2 linked regions of the Nothobranchius furzeri genome follow. The protein of the gene in region 1 interacts with the protein of each later gene in a biochemical or structural test. Links are inferred from orthologs where the notes say so. Each region holds a gene or a part of one and is shown on either strand. Other genes may lie near its edges. The genes, in order: wbp11 and pqbp1.

What was found.
Region 2: the proteins of wbp11 (region 1) and pqbp1 form a complex in vitro, tested with the Homo sapiens proteins (2 studies listed by BioGRID and IntAct, with this or other methods). The link is inferred for Nothobranchius furzeri from reciprocal best matches to the Homo sapiens genes WBP11 and PQBP1.

What each region holds. Positions count from the first base shown.
Region 1 is NC_091752.1:67,492,912-67,496,336, reverse strand, and holds part of wbp11 (WW domain-binding protein 11), read left to right. Parts: coding exon 1-88; intron 89-167; coding exon 168-331; intron 332-1,795; coding exon 1,796-2,029; intron 2,030-2,122; coding exon 2,123-2,242; intron 2,243-2,316; coding exon 2,317-2,604; intron 2,605-2,673; coding exon 2,674-2,859; intron 2,860-3,425. UniProt on the Homo sapiens protein: Activates pre-mRNA splicing. May inhibit PP1 phosphatase activity.
Region 2 is NC_091755.1:41,961,260-41,965,622, reverse strand, and holds the start of pqbp1 (polyglutamine-binding protein 1), read right to left. Parts: upstream 2,811-4,363; 5' UTR 2,700-2,810; intron 2,143-2,699; coding exon of another isoform or gene 2,138-2,142; exon of another isoform or gene 2,090-2,137; 5' UTR 2,089-2,089; coding exon 2,022-2,088; exon of another isoform or gene 2,019-2,021; intron 1,929-2,018; coding exon 1,817-1,928; intron 1,631-1,816; coding exon 1,530-1,630; intron 1,432-1,529; coding exon 1,231-1,431; intron 1,148-1,230; coding exon 1,090-1,147; intron 144-1,089; coding exon 1-143. Other genes in the region: timm17b (mitochondrial import inner membrane translocase subunit Tim17-B), read left to right, coding at 2,811-2,836, 3,826-3,925, 3,996-4,059, 4,157-4,285, 4,359-4,363. UniProt on the Homo sapiens protein: Intrinsically disordered protein that acts as a scaffold, and which is involved in different processes, such as pre-mRNA splicing, transcription regulation, innate immunity and neuron development.

The sequences.
Region 1 (3,425 bases):
CTCACGCCCCGTCCAACATCCACATCCAGGACATCCCTTTACCAGGAGCTCAGCCTCCTTCCATACTAAAGAAGACTACCTCTTTTGGGTAGGCCTAACATTTCTGCACATGAACCTGCAGGCTTTTGTCGTTTCCCACAGGTGATTTTTACACATCAATGTTTTAGGAAAGGACCTATATCATCCTCTGGGCTGGGGTTAGGAGCAGTGCCAGGTGTCCCACGCTTACCTCCAGGGAAGAAGCCTCCAGGACCCCCACCTGGGCCCCCACCTCCACAGGTCCTGGCGCTGTATGGCATTCCTTCTCGACGATCTTACGGCTCTGACGCAGGTAGCCCGCTGACAGATGCTAGCATGGGTTAGGTTGGTGCGGAGATCAGGGCGACGCTTCCCACTCCCCTCCCTGTCATTTTGACCAGTGATACAAGCAGGTCGGCTGTTTTATACTAGGGTTCGAGCCACGGCTGCCAGAAAGAGGACGTAATGTTTTTTAGATTTTTATTGAGGAAATATTTTGGGAACGGACATTTAAAGAAAGCTGCAGACTTGGTTATCCATGGTAGAATAAACGGCTTCCTCCAGGTCACGAATCGGCTAAGTGACTAGTAAATATCAGAAGAAGAAGAAAATATCATTTCTATAGCGCCTCTCAAGATAAAAATCACGAGGCGCTTCACAAAAACAAAAAATGTAAAAATATAAAAAAGCATGGCATTACAGCAAAAAATTGCTGGAATGCTATGTTGTCAACAACGGTAATTTCTACTTCTACTATGGTGTAGTGTTGGATGCATGCCGTAGAGCATTTTTTAACAGCGTCCTCGTCTTTTCCGACAGTGCGAGCTATTTCTCTCCAAGAATTATTAACAACATGTTGATCACGGTGATCTCTGAGAGCTGAATCATACAAATGTCTGTATTTACGAACCTCTGCCGTACTAGTTCTTGCCGGTCCGCCATGTTTTTCCGTGTCCGACCGTCCGCGTGGTTAGAAAATGTCCTAGGTGCGCGTTGAGGAAATTTTGGGCCGTGCGGAGGCGCGGTGGAGGGGCGTGGTTTTTAAAATGACGCAACTTTTTCGCGCGGAGCCGTGCGGACCTCGCGGACGCGTCAAGCATAAACGAACCTTGCTTGTCTGAGCTAACGTGTGCCGTCAGAAACATTCAAACCATTTTTAAAAGAGAAGTTCAGCTTTCAAGTCAACTAAAGTGCGCGACTCTGCGCTCGTGCTGATGAAGCATAAACCAAGCTTTAGAAATCTGCCTGAACCTGCTGATGTGGGAGGAGTTTCTCTCTCCCTTACTCAACTATGTTCTCTCTCTCTCTCTCTCTCTGTCCCGGGCCCACCCACGGTGCATTATTATCGGCTCTAGCAGCGCTGTGTGTGGGAACATGAAACAGGGAAAATAACCTGAACATGCAGCTCTGGCAGCTGTGGAGCTGGGCTCGGCTCTGGGCGGTACACCCCACCCCCCTCCCCCTCGCTGGCTTTTGCCGCCGCCACGCCATAACACAGGGGGAAACCCCCGGATGTAAAAAAAAGTTACACAACTGATCCTGGATCAGTCGAAACCGCTAAAACCACAGCTTTGACGTTCACGTGATCGTGCTGTTTGAAATCGCGATTTTGGTCCAAAAACGATAGTTCAGCCCTATTCTGCTCAATAAGCCTGTTTATTGTAGAGCTGTTACTAGATATCTCAGATTAAATTGGGATTAAACCCTAATTTTCATGACTTGATGAAAAATCTGAAAGCGAGGAGTATTTTTGTGCTTTTGTTTAATCCGTCATCAGATCTCTCCATTCCTGGCTTGGAGAAGGAATCTGCCCTGGACTTGGGCCGGGATCAGTACAGCGGCAGCGAGAGCGACAGAGATCGGGACGATCTGGATGACAACAGTGACTCTGATGAAGACAGCGAAGAGGACAGGGACGAGGAGGGAGACGGCGAGCAGCGAGGGCGTGCGGAGCGGCGGGCTGATGGCGGGGAACGGGAGGAGGACAGAGACAGAAGTGAAAGACATGCCGGTCAGTGCTGCAGTGTGTTTGAGCTCCTGAGTGTAATCCTAATGGCTTCGGGTCCCTCGTGAACGTGTCGTTCGGGTCTCTGACTTGCTGCAGGACGCAGCGTACGCTTCGCAGATCTGCCAGGAGATGATTCCCATGATGGGAAGAAGAAGAGAGGGGCGAAGAAGACCAAGGCCATTACGCCTCTGCAGGCCATGATGTTGAGGATGGCAGGTACGGTCATGTGATCACGTTCCGCCTCACGTCCTGTTCAGAACTAGGGTGCATGACAAGTCTGTCGTCCTCAGGTCAGTCGGTTCCCGACGAGGAAGAAGAGGAGGAGGAGGGAGAGGAGGAGTTCACAGATGAGTCGGACGCGTCTGACACCGAGGACCGGGCTCCACCGGCAGACGGCCAGTCCCAAGTCGTGGCCAGTCAGCGCCTCCCCCCTCCTGTTGGGGCCGTGGGTCAGCAGGGACCCCCTCCACCTTTACAAGGCCCACCGATGACTGGTCCTCCTCCACTGGGCCCACCACCAGCTCCTCCAATGAGACCTCCCGGTCCCCCGTCCGGCCCACCTCCTGGCCCCCCACCAGGTTAGCTTCATTCAGAAGAGATGACTGTTTTGGTGGCGGGACGCGTTTCTTATTTTCTCTTCTGTTTAGGCGCTCCTCCGTTTTTGAGGCCACCTGGTATGCCCGGAGGAATTAGGGGCCCGATGCCTCGTCTTCTGCCCCCTGGTCCTCCACCAGGTCGACCCCCTGGTCCTCCGCCAGGCCCTCCTCCCGGTCTTCCACCAGGTCCTCCACCCCGCGGACCCCCACCCAGACTACCACCCCCGGCACCACCAGGTAGGTGTATAAAGCTACAAGGAGGTACTGCGTAGTTTAATGGATGTGACTGCACACACCTCAGTGGTCAGCGGTTCCATCAGGACAGGTCTTCTCGTTGCCGGGTTGTCCTCTGTGACTTTTCCAGGTGTTGCATTCAGCTCCGTTTCCAACCAGACGACTCTGTTTCAGGGTAAAGCTCACGAGCCCATGCTTGAAAACTGCTCACCACGCACTCTGTAGCGACACGACAGACCTTCGGACCCGTAAACCCGGGAGCGAGGTGAACGTCGTGCTGCTACCGGCGTCTGTTGTCCCTCAGGCTTGCCGTAGTTAGAGGAGGACGCGCTGGGGTTCATGGGGTTGGAGGTAGAGGAAGGAATGACATTCAGGAAGTAACCCGAGGTTTGGGGATCCAGGCAAAAATGCTTAGAGACACTGTGTGTGTGTGTGTGTGTGTGTGTGTGTGTGTGTGTGTGTGTGTGTGTGTGTGTGTGTGTGTGTGTGTGTGTGTGTAGACACGGAAGTGGCTGGGCAGCCGTGGTGCTGCTCAACAGTGTCCCTCACCAGCAGAATTTCACACGTTT
Region 2 (4,363 bases), on another chromosome or scaffold:
TGGGCGGTTGGTTGGCAGCGTTGGCCCGCAGCACCGCGCCTGGACTCGGGTACGGCCGCTGCTGGAACAGCGGGCCGGCGGCTGTGGTGTCTGCACCGGTTTTGGCCTCGTTGCGTTTGGGAAGACCACTCGACCAAGAGCCCCTGTGGAAAACAGTTCAGCAGACCTTTAGAGTGGGCCAGCTTGTTTGCTAACGCCTGGTTGTTTAGCTAGCGCTAGAGCCGTTTCAGCTGGTTAACTTGACCGTTTCGTGTATTCAGCAGACGCGTTTGTCCAGAGTGACTCACAAATGAGCGTTTTTACACACAACACAAATGTGTTGGGCTGTTCTGCAAAAAAAACCTAAAGTTCTGACTTCAGTCGACAGGACAAACCACAGAACCCGATCCCTTTAGTACCCGTTTCAGCCAGAAGCCTTCCAGGAATCCACTTGTTGAAAACTACAAATTTTATTCCTGCAAGTGTGCATTAGTGGCATTTCCATAGATGCGGCTAAAGACGCCATCACTATAAAGCCAGGCGTTGAGTTTTGAATAAATAATATGTAAAGAAAGTTGTAATAATGGGTCAAGGTGACAGGTGCAGCTTTTCCAAAACACGGGATTTAGCTGAATTTAAAGCCTAGACTGCAGAAAGCTTGGCCGAAAGAAAAATGATACTAATGAAAGTAGAACGACTACTTTAGAAGACCCCGAGGCTAAAACTGTATAAATCACATGTTTGATTCAAGTAGCTTTAAAGACGTAAATAAAAACATGATCATGCACCAGAGTTCAGTTCCGGCGGGTCCAGCCCAGAGGGTGAAACCGGAGGAGAGGGACTGCAGCGTGTGACTCAGAAAACTGCAGCCACCTCGCTCCCATGAGGTTTCAGAGCCACGTGACTTGGCGCCTGCTTTGCAGTGCCAGCAGCAGTCGTCCAAAGTTTCTACCCAGCATGCATCATGTTACACCGCTGCTGCAGTGCTGTGCATTCAATTAAAGACTTAAATGTCTGCTTTGTTCTTTAACTTACAAAGCTGAAGCTGACATGTAACTGAGTGGAATGACGACAGGGGTAATTTCCTGCCTGCTGCTTGTTTTACTTTACCTGGGAGCATCAGAATAAGCGCTGGGGTCCATGGGGTCCATCTCGTCATCCTTTCTTCCTGCAAACACGATCAGATTTTAACTGTTATTGTATCACAGATAAAGCTTTAACGTGAAAACGAAAGACTTCTGTAAGCATCACCTCTTTTGTTCTTGTTGTATGGTGCCATGTCGTCCCTCCTTTGCTTTCTTCTGTCTCTGTCCCGCCCATCATCTCTGTCCCTGTCTCTGTCCCGATCTCTTTCTCTTTCCCGGTCCCTATCCCTGTCTCTGTCCCTTTCCCGTTCTCTCTCTCTGTCTGGCTTCTCAAACGGTCGCTCTCCTCTTTCATCTCCCAAATCAGCTAAAAACAAATAATAATGCAATTTCTGTGAAAAACATTCCTCGTTTCTTTTTTAAAGACACTTATGCAAAACTGGCGAGTTTAGTTTTTAAACCCACCTTTCATTTTCTTGGCAGCTTTTGTTATCACAGACGAGGGGTCATTTGGGGACAGCCAGGCGACTAGATCCGTCTCAACATTCCAGTAGTAAGGAAGACCACTGAGGGTGGCAGGAAATCAGGAAGAGAAGGCTAATCAGCTTACATACTAAACATGTAAAAGAGACCCAATGACATCGCTTTGTGAATTCACTGGAAAGCTTCATCTGGACTGCAAACACCCAAACACAAGCGCACTGGAGGTAAAACTACCAAAGAACCGTAGATAACCAGTACAGTGTACGTACCAAGCTGGATCAAACACTTTGTACCAGTTTGGAGGAAGATTCTCTGCTCTGGTGGCTTCATAATCTACATTATTGTCATCATAATCTTCGGCAATAATCTCCTCATCTGCACCTGTTATTAAAGGAGAAAATACTGTTACACGACATACGTGTAAAGTCACAGAGAAGGATGCATGGAGCCAGCGTGTTCAAGCCAAATGAGAACCTCGTTCTGTTGGTTTAACGATCCCCCTCTTGGCCAAGCGGGCCAGCAGAGCTGGAGGAAGAGGCATCCTGAAAAACACGAGATGCTGTCACAACAGTCACCTCGAACATCTGTACATGAGGTCAGTGGTTTCATAAATCCACAGCAAAGATACAGAAAATTTACTTGTTTCTCATGTGTTCTGATATTTAAAGTATACAGCCTCAATTATACACAACGGGGTTTATCCCAATAAACAAAACGTCTCTTTACTGCCAAATTACGTACAAAAACGAGTTAATTTATAACAAATAAACATCTGAACAGAAACCTTTCAGATAAAACATTGTAATGAAATATGGAGAACATAAAGCTCCCAACAGCACACGCAGTAAAAGGCGTCGGGCTTTCAATACAATTTGAATAAATGCTGTTCTTACGTTTTCAGTTGAAGTTATGTTCAACATTTGAGTTGTGTTATTTTTAAAGACTTTAACTACAGATGTAGAAACAGTCTGACATTCGTAAAATCTGCATTTATTTGCACGAACAACAAACGTTTACCCGAAGGCTAACCCTGTTAGCAACCGCTGGATGATTAAATCAACAAGCAGACTGCGTAAGTACTTCCATGCCCGGAAGGAACGAAAATCTGAACGTTTACGCTTCAAAACGGGATCCGAACAGGAACAAGTTTACCTGAGATAAAGAAATTCACCCAATAGCAGAGAAAATGATGTTAGCACCGCCAACGCACTAGTAGCGCCGGTCGCACGTGTATGACGTCACAACGTCTAGACGAAAACAAACATGGAGGAATATGTCCGCGAACCTTGGTAAGATTAGTTTGTCTTTAACTGTAAACTAAATACGGCTAACATACATACCAGTGTTGGTTTTTCTAGTGAAACATAAACATGTGAGAGAACAGAGACGCGTTGTGAGTTCTGCTGTCAATCCACGTATATATACGTGCTTACGTTCAATGCAATTCAAAAATACTTTATTAATCCCAGAGGAAATTGATTGCTGTAGTAGCTCAGAATAATAATAATAAACAAGTCATCAAAGAGTTGTTGTATATTACAATGGCTGTTGGCAGGAAGGATCTCCAGTAGCGGTCAGTGTTGCAGCCAAACTGAAGAAGCCTCTGACTGAAGACACTCTTCCGTTGTCGGACAGTCTTGTGAAGAGAACGCTCAGGGTTGTCCATAATTTTCTTGATTCTCTGGAGAATCCTCCTTTGCATTTTCTCCTCCAGCGGTTCCGAAACTGCCGAAACTCTGGCTGAGTCCTTGAAAGGGCTTGGAGTTCCTCCATCTTGTTGGCCAGTGATCTCACATTGCCCGTTATGATCGATGGAAGAGACGGTTTGAATTTCCTCTTTCTCTGTCTCCGTTTTGCTCCCGCTCTGCACCCACGCTTCTTGCGTTTTAGCTCATTTGGGATTTGTGGCTTCAGTTGAGGTATTATTTCAGCCTTTCCAATGTTAATCAGCTGCTCCCGATTGTAAACCAGCTTGTTGCCATGGTTACGCATCATAACAAATGCTCAAAAAGTGTAAAAAGCTAAAAAATAGCAGTAAAAATCCTCCAAGCTTCACAGCACCAGAAACAGAAAAGTAGTGTCCAAAAAAATACCGTTTCTCTTGAGAAACTAGAAGAAAAAATGCCCAAGAAAAGGCAAAACTTACATATAGTCAACAGAGCTACTCCAACATGCAGCCACCCAGAGCAGCGCAGTTCCGTTGACGTCTGTATCCTGATCTGACTGTATATCTTGTATTTTGACGGTGTCTTGTGTGTCCTCCCCTAACCTCCTGCAGCCCCTGGAGGATTGTGGACGACTGTGGAGGAGCTTTCTCCATGGGTGTCATCGGTGGAGGGGTGTTCCAGGCCATCAAGGGCTTCCGAAATGCCCCTGCTGTGAGTTTAAAACAGACTAGTTTGACTTGACTTCTTGGAAGCCTTTATAAACCTGTCTGTAACATTTCAGGGTGTTGGACACAGACTAAGAGGAAGTGCAAAGGCAGTGAGAGTGAGGGCCCCACAGATTGGAGGTTTGACCCGTTGCTGCTCTGCTCCTCACACACCACTGAAGGATTTTGGTCCCTTTCTCTAAACTGAGCTTCAGCACTGACGTGCTTCTTCTACCAGGTAGCTTTGCCGTATGGGGAGGTCTCTTCTCTACGATTGACTGTGGCTTGGTTCGCCTGAGAGGGAAAGAAGACCCGTGGAACTCTATAACAAGTGGTGCGCTGACTGGAGCCATTCTAGCAGCACGCAGTGAGGATAACACTCAACAACCAAACACTAGACAGGAACTCAGTAACTCACCAAATGTTTTGGTTTGCCTCAGGTGGG